Saccharomyces cerevisiae S288C: one gene and its partner. The protein of the gene in region 1 interacts with the protein of each later gene in a pairwise test. Each region holds a gene or a part of one and is shown in the gene's direction. Other genes may lie near its edges.

Region 1 (11,998 bases):
AATTTATAGCCTTGGAATATTTCCATAATTTGTCCCACCGGGTAATGTGCGTAATGCAATAACATATAGCATCTATATCTGGTAAGCGTAGAAGAATTAACAAACCTAAGAATAAAATACAAATATGTTTACAACCAAAAAATCAACTTAAATAGATGAAGAGCTCGCATATCAATTTTAACAGACCTCGCTGAAAGACTCTGAATCCTTATCTTCTTCATCTATGGACATTGCATCTGATTTCTCGTCAGGTAAAACAAAACTTACATTTTTTGCTACAGTTGACGTGTCTTGAATACTCATGTTTTCCAGGTTTTTGGATGTGTCAATTTGCTCCGCTTCTGATCTCGTTCTTTTCCTTGAGTTACTTTGCTCTGTTGTATTGTCAACTGCCGAAATATTAACAGTTGTTTTAGTCAATTCTGTGTTATTTCCATCAGTTATATCAGCAGCGTGTTCTATGGTGTCATTTGAAGATTTATTGAATGAATTCCCCAAAATAGACGAGTATTGGTCATTCGCAGTGTTGTTCTCATCTTTTGTCTGAGTTTCTGACCTTTCATTGATCTCTTCAATCAGCGAATTCAAATTATTCCTTAGCTTGTCCAGAGCATTTTTGCTAACATTGTCTAAATTATCATTTTCTGCAATATCGTCAGAATACTCAAGAAGTTCTTTCAAAGTAGAATAATCTTGTTCAGAAGAAAGAAATATAGCGTTTATATTAGTGATGATCATCTTCTTTATTTCTTTCTTCTCAATTTGAGCGTATATTTTGAGCACATCGATCAAGAATGTAAGCTGCACTGTATCTTTTTTTGTTGAACCTGTCTGGTTAACTAAGTTACGTGGATCAGTCCAAAATAGCAACTGTTGAAATATTATGTTAGGCTTTAGCATAGCTTCACGGTCTACCTCAGGTATTACAGAGCTCTGTAAATCGTCCCAAAGAACACATAGTCTTAAGAGTATGTCCGCAGCCGTCCTAGACATACGTTGTTGATGAGCAGGATGTGAAAAACAATAGACTGGAATGCAGAAGGCAAATGCCTGTACCAGCGCTTCGTTTGAGGAATTTATCGGCGAAAAATATGACAAAACCAACGTTTCAAACAAATCATCATCAGTGAACACGTCTGCCAAAAATAGTTTGCATAAACCCTCCGCTGCTATCACCTGACATTCCGGTAAACCGTTATTCTTTAAAACCTTGTAAAATATTTTGTGCAACGAGATTGAGTCAACTTTGCCTTCTCCGTCTACCACAGTGTTCCCATGTACGGAAAAAATATCTACAATGACTTGTAACGCAATATACTTTAATGATGCATTACCTTTCGAAACGCACATACCTAAGATGTACATGTTATCAATAGCCAACTTCACATCCAAGAGACAACATAAACCAAGGTTCTTGACACCAAGCTCCCTAATATTTGGCGCGGTATTTCTAACCGCTGGTGTGATCAAAGTGTCCATCAACGACGCAATTAAAATGTTTTCTGTTAACGGTGTGTTAACTAGTTCTAGCATATATGATGACCTTGTAAGACAGAGAACAATTGTTGCTGAGGACGCTTCCTTTTCGGGTGGGAGATTATTTATTATGTCACTCTCAGATACGTTGCCGTTTCCCTGCACTAAGTTTTCTACAGCAGAATGGAAGGATGAAATATTGTCGTCTTCTTCATCCTCGTTAACTTCGTCATTATGTGTGCCGTTTTCGTCCTCTTCATCGACGGAAGTCTCATTTCTGCGATTAATCTTCTTGCTTTTTATTTTCTCTTCTTGTTCTTGTTTTTCAATATCGTCGTCTCTAATATCATTAATGATTTCTATTGCCATTGTTACAAAATCTTTTTCATTTATGGACAGACTTTTCATTACACGAATACCAATTTTAATAAGAGGTTCGGAGAGTGTAGTTAAGGCCAGCATATTTCGTACCACTGTAAGCATCGATCTCCTTCCAACCTCATCGCTATAATCATACCTTTCGGCGGCAATCGATAGTTGCTCAATAATAAACTCTAAAGTGTTATAATCAAAATGCGACTGAGAGTCATTAGAAATGTCGTTGTGATGATATCTGAGAAGAATATAATGGTTTAAATGCTCGGATAATTTTGAGGCTTCTGGAAAGTTTTCTTCCAGCATTTCTGTTATATTATTATCCAAACAGTACAAATAAATAGCCCGAAAGAGGAAGGCAATTTCTACGGTAAAGTCTTTCCAAATACTTTCAGGAAATTTGATTTTAGATAATATATCTGGCCTTGATTGAAAAAGTGCTTCTATAGCCTTAACACACACTGAGGATCTTGAGACATCCAATTTTTCTAGTAATTCTATCAAATCGCCATCCAGAGCATTTAACCAATCATGAGCAATGAGTCTCTTACACGCATTTCTCACTGATAATTCCCTATCTTCTAAACCCCACTCAATCAATTGATCAAAAATATGCGGCTCAATATCATCGAAACACTTTCTTCCCATTGATTTCAAAATTCTCGAATACACGAGCCTTCTATTAACGATGTTTACATCTCTAGCCCTCTCCAAGATATACGGTCTAGTATTATTATCATTGATCAAATTCAGCATTGCAGCCCTCCGTACTTCAGCTGACGGATCGTTCTGGATAGAAGCAACTAGAGTTCTCGTAGCTTCAAAATTTTCTTCATTATCAGAAAGCTCAGTTAAATGTTCAGTTTGCTCTTCATCCTGAAATTTAGTTAAACAAAACACAGCCTGTATCCTAACCGTTGGTTCTCTATCATAAATCCTCTTATTTAAAGACAATATTAATAAATTGAAAAGTGATTCATCGATTTCCCCTATATTATCCATTATAACGGCTAATAACTGTAAAACTCTAAATCTGACGTTCTTGTCAGGGCTTTCCACACCACGCAAAACATGTCTTATGAACTGATCGACGAACCTTGAGAATATCCCTTCTTCATCATTCGTGAGCTTATAGTTTTGTTTTTTGGCCAATATCAACTCCCTTTCTAAAGAAGCTATAAATGCAGCTACTAACTTTACTATCCTGTCTCCGATAATCTCATTCTTTTTCAGAGGAAGGATCTTAGTAACTAATTTATCGAACCAAAAGTTAAAAGCATCTTCATAGCCTTGCTCAACAGCCTTTGACTGAATTTTCTTCAAAACTGCTATATGCTTCCTGTGTCCTGCATAAGAACCCTGTGCCTTTTGAAATACTTCAGCAACTGAGTTAAAGATTTTCGTATTAATGTCAATACCATCAGGATCTTGCATGATGGGCGCGGCCTGTTAACTTCTTTGTCTTATCCAAGGCTGTAGGCATTACTGAAGTGTTTTTGTTTGATCTTCAAAGAGCTAAAAAGGTAAACAAACACGAAGGCTCTACCCTTTCATATGCGGTGCACGGATTTTAAAAGTCGCAATAACTCAAGAATACGATAGATGCAATAAATCAGAGGTAAAGTGCTTTAGGCTAATACTATGAGCAATTCAGTATAACCTGCATTATCTCCTTGTTTTCCTTTGTATCCCCCATGATTTTTTTTTCTTGTTATTCCTCTTGATACCATATTAGGCAGGATTTTTTTCAAAAAACCAAATGAAAAATTTTCAGACTGACAAGAAAAAAGCTACGAATGAGCTCATCGCTACTTTCAGTTTTAAAAGAAAAGTCAAGAAGCCTGAAAATACGAAACAAACCGGTGAAGATGACCAGTCAGGAAAGGATGATAGTGCATAGATGCAGATTTGTGGATTTCACTCCTGCCACAATCACATCTCTAGCATTTTCACATAAATCAAATATAAATAAGTTAACTCCGTCCGATTTGAGATTAGCTATTGGTAGATCTAATGGTAACATAGAAATCTGGAATCCTAGAAACAATTGGTTTCAGGAAATGGTTATCGAAGGTGGCAAAGACAGATCAATTGAAGGCCTTTGCTGGAGCAACGTTAACGGCGAGTCTCTAAGGCTATTTTCTATTGGCGGCTCGACTGTGGTAACAGAATGGGATTTAGCAACAGGTTTACCATTAAGAAACTATGATTGCAATTCAGGTGTGATATGGTCTATTTCCATCAACGATTCACAAGACAAGCTGTCTGTGGGTTGCGATAATGGGACGGTGGTCCTCATAGATATCTCTGGCGGGCCTGGTGTCTTGGAACACGATACTATTTTGATGAGACAAGAAGCCAGAGTATTGACTTTGGCTTGGAAAAAGGATGACTTCGTGATTGGTGGTTGTTCTGATGGTAGAATAAGGATTTGGTCTGCACAAAAAAATGACGAAAACATGGGTCGTCTATTACACACTATGAAGGTCGACAAGGCCAAAAAAGAATCAACTCTAGTTTGGTCAGTTATATATTTACCAAGAACTGATCAGATTGCCTCTGGTGATTCTACAGGCTCCATTAAATTCTGGGATTTCCAGTTTGCCACGCTAAACCAGTCATTTAAGGCGCACGATGCAGACGTACTGTGTCTAACTACCGATACTGATAATAATTATGTTTTTAGTGCTGGTGTGGACAGAAAAATCTTTCAATTTTCTCAAAACACTAACAAATCTCAAAAGAACAACAGATGGGTAAATTCTTCTAATAGGTTGCTTCATGGAAACGACATTAGAGCAATATGTGCATACCAATCTAAAGGTGCAGATTTTCTAGTTTCAGGAGGTGTTGAAAAAACACTAGTCATCAACTCACTTACTTCTTTTTCTAATGGAAACTACAGGAAGATGCCAACTGTCGAACCTTATTCAAAGAATGTTTTAGTTAACAAAGAGCAACGCCTTGTTGTTTCATGGAGCGAATCTACTGTTAAGATATGGACAATGGGAACCGATTCTAGTACAGAACAGAATTATAAGCTAGTTTGCAAGTTAACTTTAAAAGATGACCAGAATATCTCAACTTGTTCTTTATCACCTGATGGACAAGTTTTAGTCGTAGGGAGGCCCTCTACCACTAAAGTTTTTCATTTACAGCCCGTAGGTAATAAATTGAAAGTGACTAAACTAGATAATGACCTATTATTGAGAACTTCCACAAAATTAGTCAAGTTCATCGATAATTCCAAAATTGTCATATGCTCTTGCGAAGATGATGTATTTATTGTGGATCTAGAATCTGAAGAAGATGAAAAACCGCAAGAAGTTGAACTTTTGGAGGTTACTTCAACTAAGAGCAGTATCAAAGTTCCCTATATTAACAGGATCAACCATTTGGAAGTAGACCAGAACATTGCAGTAATTTCTCGTGGCTGTGGAGTCGTAGACATATTAGACTTAAAAGCAAGGATTTCTAAACCACTTGCTCGTTTGAATAATTTCATCACCGCTGTTCATATCAATACTTCTAGAAAATCTGTAGTAGTAATTACTGCAGACAATAAGATTTATGAATTCAATATGAATTTGAATTCGGAAGCCGAGAATGAAGATAGCGAAAGCGTATTAACTCAATGGTCAAAAAACAATACGGATAACTTACCAAAAGAATGGAAGACATTAAAAGAGAACTGTGTAGGGATATTTTCAGACATAGAAAATAGTAGCAGATTATGGTTTTGGGGGGCTACTTGGATATCAAGAATAGACTTTGATGTTGACTTCCCTATAAATAAGAGAAGAAAACAGAAAAAACGTACACACGAAGGGCTAACTATCACAGATGAAAGTAATTTCATGAACGACGAGGAAGATGACGAAGATGACGATATTGATATGGAAATCAGCGAAAACTTGAATGTATTATTAAACCAAGGAAACAAAATAAAGTCCACAGATGTACAAAGAAACGAAGAAAGCTCCGGTCACTTCTTCTTTACTGATAAATATAAACCTTTACTGTTTGTTGACTTAATTTCTAGTAATGAATTGGCAATAATTGAAAGAAATCCATTAACTTTTCACTCCAAACAAAAGGCGTTTATTCAACCAAAGTTAGTGTTTTGATTAATTTAAGTCAACATACCGAAGAATAGAGAGATGCTATTAAAAGGCTATCATACTCTAAGGGCATTTTTCAGTTACAAAAAACTCTAATGGCGTTAGTACTTTATAGAAACTCGCTAATGTAAAATAGCCAAGCACATACGCAGACATATATATGTAGTAATCACGTATGCAGACATTAAATGTGAGCCATTTATTGGTATAAATGTATTCCTGAATTACAAAAGTACTGGCGATGGAATCACTCTGGCTATCACTGTTATTTCCAGGCAGGGTAATACTTTGGGAAAACAATAGAATAATGAAAACATATGATCAGTAGCTAAATTGACCGACCTAAAGAGCAAAGCCGGATCTCATGGTTTTTAAAGGGATATCACCGAATTTCCTGGCGACTTATCTATTATGGATCTTGAAAATGTTTCATGTCCCATTTGTCTAAGGAAGTTTGATAACTTACAAGCACTAAATGCACATTTAGATGTTGAGCATGGGTTTAACGATAATGAAGATTCACTCGGTTCCAATGACAGTCGTTTAGTCAATGGTAAACAAAAAAAGGCCAGATCTGTTGATAGCAGTGCGCAAAAGTTGAAAAGAAGCCATTGGGAAAAATTCAAAAAAGGGAAGAGCTGCTGTCACACATGTGGAAGGACTTTGAATAACAATATTGGCGCCATTAATTGTAGGAAATGTGGTAAACTGTATTGCAGAAGGCATCTTCCTAATATGATTAAACTTAATCTTTCCGCACAGTATGACCCCAGAAACGGGAAATGGTACAATTGCTGCCATGATTGTTTCGTCACAAAACCTGGCTATAACGATTATGGCGAAGTAATAGATTTAACACCAGAATTCTTTAAGGTACGAAATATAAAAAGAGAGGACAAAAACTTAAGGCTATTACAATTAGAAAATCGGTTTGTCCGTCTAGTTGATGGTCTGATTACACTCTATAACACATATTCTAGATCCATTATTCATAATTTGAAGATGAATAGTGAAATGTCCAAGTTAGAACGTACAGTTACTCCATGGAGAGATGATAGAAGTGTACTCTTTTGTAACATATGTTCCGAACCATTTGGGCTATTACTAAGGAAGCATCACTGCAGATTATGTGGTATGGTTGTTTGTGATGATGCAAACAGGAACTGCTCAAACGAAATAAGCATAGGTTATTTAATGTCTGCAGCGTCAGATCTGCCATTCGAATACAATATACAGAAGGATGATTTACTTCATATTCCTATATCCATAAGATTGTGCTCGCACTGTATCGATATGCTATTTATTGGCAGGAAATTTAACAAGGACGTTAGAATGCCGCTAAGTGGAATATTTGCTAAATATGATAGCATGCAAAATATATCCAAAGTAATTGATAGTCTCCTGCCCATTTTTGAAGACTCATTGAATAGCCTGAAGGTGGAGACTGCCAAGGATTCTGAAAATACACTTGATCCAAAGAATCTGAATGATCTCGCTCGATTAAGACATAAATTACTCAATTCTTTTAACTTGTATAATACACTAACAAGACAGCTCTTAAGTGTAGAACCTCAAAGTCATCTAGAGAGACAACTTCAAAATTCGATCAAGATAGCTTCCGCTGCATACATAAACGAAAAAATCCTACCGTTGAAGTCGCTTCCGGCAATTTTGAACCCAGAGGGCCATAAAACGAATGAAGATGGGCAAAAAGCTGAACCAGAGGTAAAGAAATTATCGCAACTAATGATCGAAAACTTGACCATAAAAGAAGTGAAAGAGCTGAGAGAAGAATTGATGGTCCTAAAGGAACAAAGCTACCTTATTGAGTCCACAATTCAGGACTATAAGAAGCAGCGTAGATTGGAGGAGATCGTCACACTTAATAAGAACTTAGAAGAATTGCACTCAAGAATACATACCGTTCAATCGAAGCTGGGTGACCATGGGTTTAATTAAGACATATCTTTATTATTCGATCATTCGCGGAATCTCCACGCTAATTGGTCCGCGGAGCCAATCAGATCTATTTAAGGGTATAAATTTTTCTTTAGTTTTTTTGACTTTTCACACAGAAATTTTAGATAAAAGGAAGTATTATATCGGAACATAACGTATATAGGAACTAGCTGAGTGAGTTAAAGGATGTCGACAGTTAATGTTTTGAGATACTCTGCGTTGGGTTTGGGGCTATTTTTTGGTTTTAGAAATGATATGATTTTGAAGTGTAATGCTAAGAAGAAAGAGGAGCAGGCACAGTACGAGGAGAAATTGAAGCTGGTAGAGGAGGCAAAGAAGGAATACGCCAAGCTACACCCTGTAGTAACTCCTAAAGATGTGCCTGCGAACGCCTCATTTAATTTGGAAGATCCTAATATAGATTTTGAAAGAGTTATTCTTAACGCCGTTGAATCCCTGAAGGAAGCTTCAACATAAATAGAAGCTTCAACATAAATAGGATACTAAAAATGCACATTAGCTCGCACTGAATGACGAAGTTATGATGGATTCTCGTTCGCTAGATGTTCCATATTTTTTTCTTCATTCGTTAGTGCACAAACAATAAGGAAAAAAATGAAATGTATATATTCTAGAACATACTAATATCATACGTATCGTATTGTAAACAAAATTCACATTCCAAAAATTTTTCAGATTCTTACTTTATATTATTTGCATCAAGCTTTATTAACAATGACACGTTATTTTATATGTACAGGATACTATAATGTCATACTATTTAGGATCACCTTCTAACTCTGCTAAAAACCCTTCCAGGTGGTAGGCCATATTTTTCTCTGACGGCGGCGACTTTGGCATCCCATTCGCTTCTCCAGATATGTGCCCCAATAGCGGTTAGATTGTATTTCTTCGTAAATTGCCTGATATCAAAATCATCTCTACTTAGTTCCTTTCGGTCAATCTCTAACATGTTAGGACCTTGCTTATCCTCGATTAAGGGTTGTCTGAATACCCAAACAACGAATCTCTGTTTTCCAGCATTCTTTTCAGGTACCGGAGGTAAGTAGTCAGCGATAATATTAGAACTGTGGAACTTTCTTGGATCTATTAAATTGTCATTATAAGTCAAATTAATATTCACCAATCCGTAACACAAAGCCGTTTTAAATGAGTCATTACTCAAATCTGGAACATCAGGATTGACTATCAGTACCGTATACAATTGTTTTTCAACGTTCACAAGTTCATATTCTTGAATTTTGAAAATGGGACGCATGGATGTGACATTGGACGATAGAAATTCACCAGGTTCGATCCACTTATTTACACCAGTAGAGAAGGGAAATTTGATATTCACTTCTGCCCGTGGAACCAGAGTTGGAAGAGTATCAGGAATGGCAGCCAACGTTTCTAACCTTTGCATCAATAACATCTGGCCGTACGATTCCCAATGTTGTTTCCCCAAATGTCTGTACACTGGCACATCATAATCTATTATATCCTTAACATTGTTCAACTTGTTATTAAACTGAAAATTGTATTGTACCTCAGGATTATTGATCTCTGCTTTTATGAGAAGTGCATCCTTCTTCAAGGGATTTTTAGTCTTATTGGCCAACTCATAAAACTTACTGGATCTTTGCTCAAGAAAATCATAACTCATCCTGAAAATCTCATCAATGTGTTCTGGAGGTGAATATTTGATACGGTTACTTCTTCTGCTGATAGATGGTGGGTCTAGAGAAGCTTTCTTCTGGAAAAGGTAATTTTTCACTTTTGAAGATTGGATAGAAAGTGAACTAGGCCTTGTGGTAAAGTCCGACCAAATATGCGAAGTAGCATTAGGTTTTTGGAGGATTTTAGTGGTATGAATAGATCTTCGTAACATAGTTCGGCAGTGACCTTGATTTCTGTAAAGATCTCTGAATAAGCTTTTTGCTGTAGTCTGATATTGTATTGGATACTGTTGTCTTATCCCAGACCTTCCGGCTTCCGGTTTAGCCCGGAAAATTTGAAAAGACTGCGACAGTAAATCCCAAACACATAAGAAAATAAAAAAAGGAATACATAAACAAAAATGGATATATAAAGGCTAATTTTTTTTTGTTTATCAAATATTCCTTATTTTTTAACTTTCTTAAAAATATTTAAACACCAGATTTCGAAAAAAGTAATATTTATTCTTTAAAAATGCGGTGACCAGCGGGCGATGATAATCAAATATTTAAAAATGATATAATGATAAAACTTGAATTATTTTTATAGGAAAAGTGGAACCAAAAGATTTTCTAATGCACTGATATCATGAGCAGTTAATGAAAAATTATTAATATTATTTTTTTTATATTTTTATTCAAAAATAACATTCAAAATTTAATTTTAATAAACTCATTTAAAAAAAACCTCTAAAAACATGAAGATAGAACTATAATAACGGCTTCAGTATTCAAGACAAAGCCATGTGCAGGTGAAACGATAGAAAAGTGACATAGCCGAGACAATCTAAATGAAGAATTCCTGTACTCATCTCAGACTAGCATTAACAGGGACTTGCATAATTATATCTCTATCTCTGTGTCTATGTATATATATATATATATCGACACAAATGCAAAAAATTACAAAATTTTCACCCACCATAGACGCCAGTGAAAACATGTTTAATTTCTTCCAACGTGTAGTTACCTGCCAAACATAATTGTAACAAGATTCTGCTCTTTTCAGGGCTTAGATAACCAGATGCGATGAGATTATCCTCCTTTGAACCTTTCTTTGGTACGTTGGCAATAGGCACCATACCATCCATCGATCTCTTGGAATATACGATCGGCAAACTCAATTTCATGCAGGTTTCATTGACCTCCTCCGGCAATGAACCAGCACCCATGGTAGCAAGAACAATACCATCATACTTATCTGCCACTAAGTTGACTATAGCTGGCGGAAAGGCTTGGTGAGCATATAAAATGCAAACCTCTGGTAATTTAAAATGCTTACCGTCCACTCTCAGTTTGAATTTGTGGCAACCTTGCGGTTTCACAGGAGGATAATAGTAGTGAATTTCATTGTTGACAAAATTTCCTAAATAGCCTTGTCTAACATTAAAAGAATCCAAACTATTTGCATTCGTCTTAGTAATGTAGTAACCAGAGGAAATTTGGTCATTCAAGGAAACAAGAACACCTCTTCCTCTAGATTTTGGATTTGAAGCAATGCAAATTGCTTGGTAAAGGTTCATAGGGCCATCAGCAGAAACGCTGGTTGAAGGACGCATCGAACCAACAAAAACAATAGGAACGTCGCCAGCATCAATAGTACTTTCAATAAAGAATGCAGTTTCAGATAGCGTATCAGTCCCATGGGTAATAACTATACCGTCAAAAGCCTGCAACGATTCTGAGACGCCCTTATAAATTTTATAAAGAATATCCTCGTTTATGTCTTTAGAATCCACGTTGCATAGTTGCTCATATTCAATGTCACAGACCTTGGATATATCTGGAATGGCATCCAATAGATCTTGGATGGTCAGGTCAACATGATAGCCGGCAGTTTGAGAGGAGTCTATAGCTTTCGATGCAATAGTACCACCGGTACCCAAGATTTTGATTCTTGGTAAGCTACGTTGTTGGCAAGCGATGCCGCTGCCATTCACAGCGGCATTTTGAGACTTTAGAATCTCTGGAATAGTCTCTGGACAGTTGCTTTGCACAACAAACTGAGAATTTTCAACATCTGGGCAGATGGTAGTGATTTCAACTGAATCGCTTTTCATGATACGCTTCCAAAAGTGCGATGAGAGTGCTGTTATCCTCCACTGTCTTCAAACACATTTCTTCAACAAAGTCATCGTCATCATCTTTTTTTTTTTTTTTTCATCGAGTATTTTTTCACACGAACGGCACAAGTAGCCTTCAACTGTAATAAACAAAAGCAGATAGGGAGGAAAAGAAGTGAGTTTAGGAAAGAAAGCATAACATGGAGAACCCTCATGAACAAGTGCAGGCTAACATACTTTCGCGAATAATTGGTAATGTCAAAAGGCTCAATGAGAGCGTGGCAAT
Region 2 (3,600 bases), on another chromosome or scaffold:
CCAAAAGAACAGTATTTGCCCAACCTGCGGCAAAACCGAAACTATCACCCAGGAGTGTACTGTCAAGAATTTACCTTCAGTGTTGTCATTAGAATTATCACTATTAGATACCGAATTTTCCAATATAAGGTCGTCGAAAAACTGGTTAACTAGTGAATTTTATGGAAGCATCATTAAAAACAAGGCAGTTCTAAGATCGACGGCGTCCGAATTGAAGGGCACAAGCCACATATTTAAATACGAATTGAATGGTTACGTGGCTAAAATCACTGATAACAATAACGAGACGCGTCTAGTAACATATGTCAAAAAATATAATCCAAAAGAGAATTGCTTCAAGTGGCTCATGTTTAATGATTATTTGGTTGTTGAGATAACAGAGGAAGAGGCGCTTAAAATGACATACCCTTGGAAAACACCAGAAATTATCATATATTGTGATGCGGAAGAATTACGAAAACCTTTCTTTTCTGTTGATACGTATTCCATCAACTATGACATACTTTTCCGTGATTATTTCGCAAACGGAATAAGAGATACTGCAAGACGTGAATATAAGTTATTAACACATGATGAGGCACCTAAATCTGGAACCTTGGTTGCCATTGATGCCGAATTTGTCTCATTACAAAGTGAACTATGTGAAATCGATCATCAAGGAATCAGAAGTATTATTCGACCTAAAAGAACTGCTTTGGCCAGAATATCCATTATTAGAGGCGAAGAAGGAGAACTGTATGGAGTACCATTTGTCGATGATTATGTGGTAAACACGAACCACATAGAAGACTATTTGACAAGATATAGTGGGATTCTTCCTGGTGACTTGGACCCTGAAAAGAGTACCAAAAGGCTTGTGAGAAGAAACGTTGTATATCGAAAAGTCTGGCTTTTAATGCAGCTCGGATGCGTATTTGTTGGTCATGGTTTGAATAATGACTTCAAACACATTAATATTAATGTCCCAAGAAACCAAATTCGCGACACTGCCATATATTTTCTACAAGGAAAGAGATATCTTTCATTGCGTTATCTGGCATATGTGTTGTTAGGAATGAATATCCAAGAGGGAAATCACGATTCAATTGAAGATGCCCATACTGCCTTGATTCTTTACAAAAAATATCTCCACCTGAAAGAAAAAGCTATCTTTGAGAAAGTACTGAACAGCGTGTACGAAGAAGGAAGAGCCCATAATTTCAAAGTTCCAGAAACTTCAAAGGGATAATATGGTGCAGTGCCTTTCACGTAATCTCAAGAGCCACCAGCGCACCACTGGTTGGAAAAGTATACAAAAAATTCAAAAAAATTATAAAATGTTACCGGTGTTTGTGTACTATTATATATACTGTAATCAACATATGCAAACATTTTGAAACAGGTCTTGTTAAACCTTTTTGTCATCACACGCCAGAATTAGACTTCTTTGTGCGATGAAGTAATATCTATTACCAGAAAAGAAGGTCTTACCCTTGTTTGGCCTCTCATATGTTTCCTACTTGTTTCCCGGGCGTCCGTAACGAGTACTGACTGTATGGCGAAAAGTTGCCAGAAATGTTCATTTTTGTTTCTGCCAATTTCAGGAAAGGGTAACGTCATTACAGTTAGTTAACGTTCGAACTTACTTATAGAAGTGCCTTGGCTCATATGCAATGTACCCAGAGTAACATTAAGGAGTGAAGAGGTACAGTGACTTGGTTTTGAGTTAAGGCCATCTTTTACTGTATAGAACAAAGAAATGAACCTTTTTGATGTGGCTGACTTTTATATAAACAAAATTGTGACTTCCCAATCGAAATTGAGCGTAGCCAATGTCAATGAACACCAAAGGATTAAGGTTTTGCTGTTGGATAAGAATACCACACCTACGATATCCTTATGTGCCACTCAAAGTGAGTTGTTGAAGCATGAAATATATCTGGTAGAAAGAATAGAAAATGAGCAACGTGAAGTGTCCAGGCATTTAAGGTGCTTAGTTTACGTTAAACCCACAGAGGAAACACTGCAACATCTGCTGCGTGAGTTAAGAAATCCTCGGTACGGCGAGTATCAAATATTCTTTAGTAATATTGTCTCTAAATCTCAATTAGAACGGCTAGCTGAATCTGACGACTTGGAAGCTGTTACTAAGGTGGAAGAAATATTCCAAGACTTTTTTATATTAAACCAAGATTTATTTTCGTTTGATTTGCAACCAAGAGAATTTTTAAGTAATAAATTGGTTTGGAGCGAAGGGGGGCTAACAAAATGTACCAACAGCTTAGTTTCTGTGCTTTTATCCTTAAAGATAAAACCAGATATCAGGTATGAAGGAGCAAGTAAAATTTGTGAAAGATTGGCTAAAGAAGTTTCCTATGAGATTGGTAAAAACGAAAGAACTTTTTTTGATTTTCCTGTGATGGATTCGACACCTGTGTTACTAATTTTAGATCGTAATACTGATCCTATAACACCTTTACTTCAACCTTGGACCTACCAATCAATGATCAATGAGTATATAGGCATTAAGCGGAATATAGTTGATTTATCGAAAGTGCCTAGAATTGATAAAGACCTGGAGAAGGTCACCTTATCATCAAAGCAAGATGCTTTCTTCAGGGATACCATGTATTTGAATTTTGGTGAATTGGGTGATAAAGTAAAACAATATGTGACTACATACAAAGACAAGACACAAACCAACAGCCAAATAAATTCCATTGAGGATATTAAAAACTTTATTGAGAAGTATCCAGAGTTTAGAAAATTATCTGGAAATGTTGCAAAGCATATGGCTATAGTGGGGGAATTAGACAGACAGTTGAAGATAAAAAATATATGGGAAATTAGTGAAATAGAACAAAATCTATCAGCACACGATGCCAATGAAGAAGATTTCTCCGATTTGATTAAATTGCTACAAAATGAAGCAGTTGATAAGTATTACAAGTTAAAGCTTGCATGTATTTATTCTTTAAACAATCAAACCAGCTCAGACAAAATCCGTCAACTAGTTGAGATTCTGTCTCAACAACTTCCTCCAGAGGACGTCAACTTTTTCCATAAATTTAAATCGCTTTTTAGCCGCCAGGATAAAATGACTCAAAGTAACCATGACAAGGACGATATATTAACCGAACTAGCAAGAAGATTTAATAGTAGAATGAATTCTAAGAGCAACACCGCTGAAAACGTCTATATGCAACATATTCCGGAAATTTCGTCATTACTAACAGATCTCTCTAAAAATGCGTTATTCAGGGATCGTTTCAAAGAAATAGATACTCAAGGCCATAGAGTGATCGGAAACCAGCAGAGCAAAGATATTCCTCAGGATGTAATATTGTTTGTTATTGGCGGTGTAACTTATGAGGAGGCAAGGCTAGTCCATGATTTCAATGGAACGATGAATAACAGAATGAGGGTGGTTTTAGGAGGCACCTCTATACTTTCAACTAAAGAATATATGGATTCTATTAGATCTGCAAAATAAATAAGGATTATCTTATTCTAAAATTCTATTTTATATATGAGGCATAAATCTATATAACTTTTTCGATGCAGATAAAACATTTTACTATTGCCAAGCGAAATTAGGTTCTCATTTTCTTCATTCGGTGC

Evidence for each region.
Region 2: the proteins of PEP7 (region 1) and VPS45 interact in binary tests that used the Saccharomyces cerevisiae proteins (3 or more experiments, as listed by UniProt).

The regions. Positions count from the first base shown.
Region 1 is NC_001136.10:1,108,413-1,120,410, reverse strand, and holds PEP7 (phosphatidylinositol-3-phosphate binding protein), read left to right. Parts: upstream 1-6,383; coding exon 6,384-7,931; downstream 7,932-11,998. Other genes in the region: condensin subunit YCG1, read right to left, coding at 178-3,285; small subunit rRNA maturation protein UTP4, read left to right, coding at 3,648-5,978; TIM11 (F1F0 ATP synthase subunit e), read left to right, coding at 8,118-8,408; mitochondrial 54S ribosomal protein mL38 MRPL35, read right to left, coding at 8,719-9,822; asparaginase ASP1, read right to left, coding at 10,564-11,709; DAD4 (Dad4p), read left to right, coding at 11,913-11,998. UniProt on the Saccharomyces cerevisiae protein: Required for vacuole segregation and vacuole protein sorting. Possibly part of a complex which tethers the vacuole membrane to microtubules, either directly or via kinesin or dynein-like motor proteins.
Region 2 is NC_001139.9:328,746-332,345, reverse strand, and holds VPS45 (Vps45p), read left to right. Parts: upstream 1-1,738; coding exon 1,739-3,472; downstream 3,473-3,600. Other genes in the region: PAN2 (poly(A)-specific ribonuclease), read left to right, coding at 1-1,228. UniProt on the Saccharomyces cerevisiae protein: Essential for vacuolar protein sorting. Function in membrane traffic between the Golgi and the vacuole.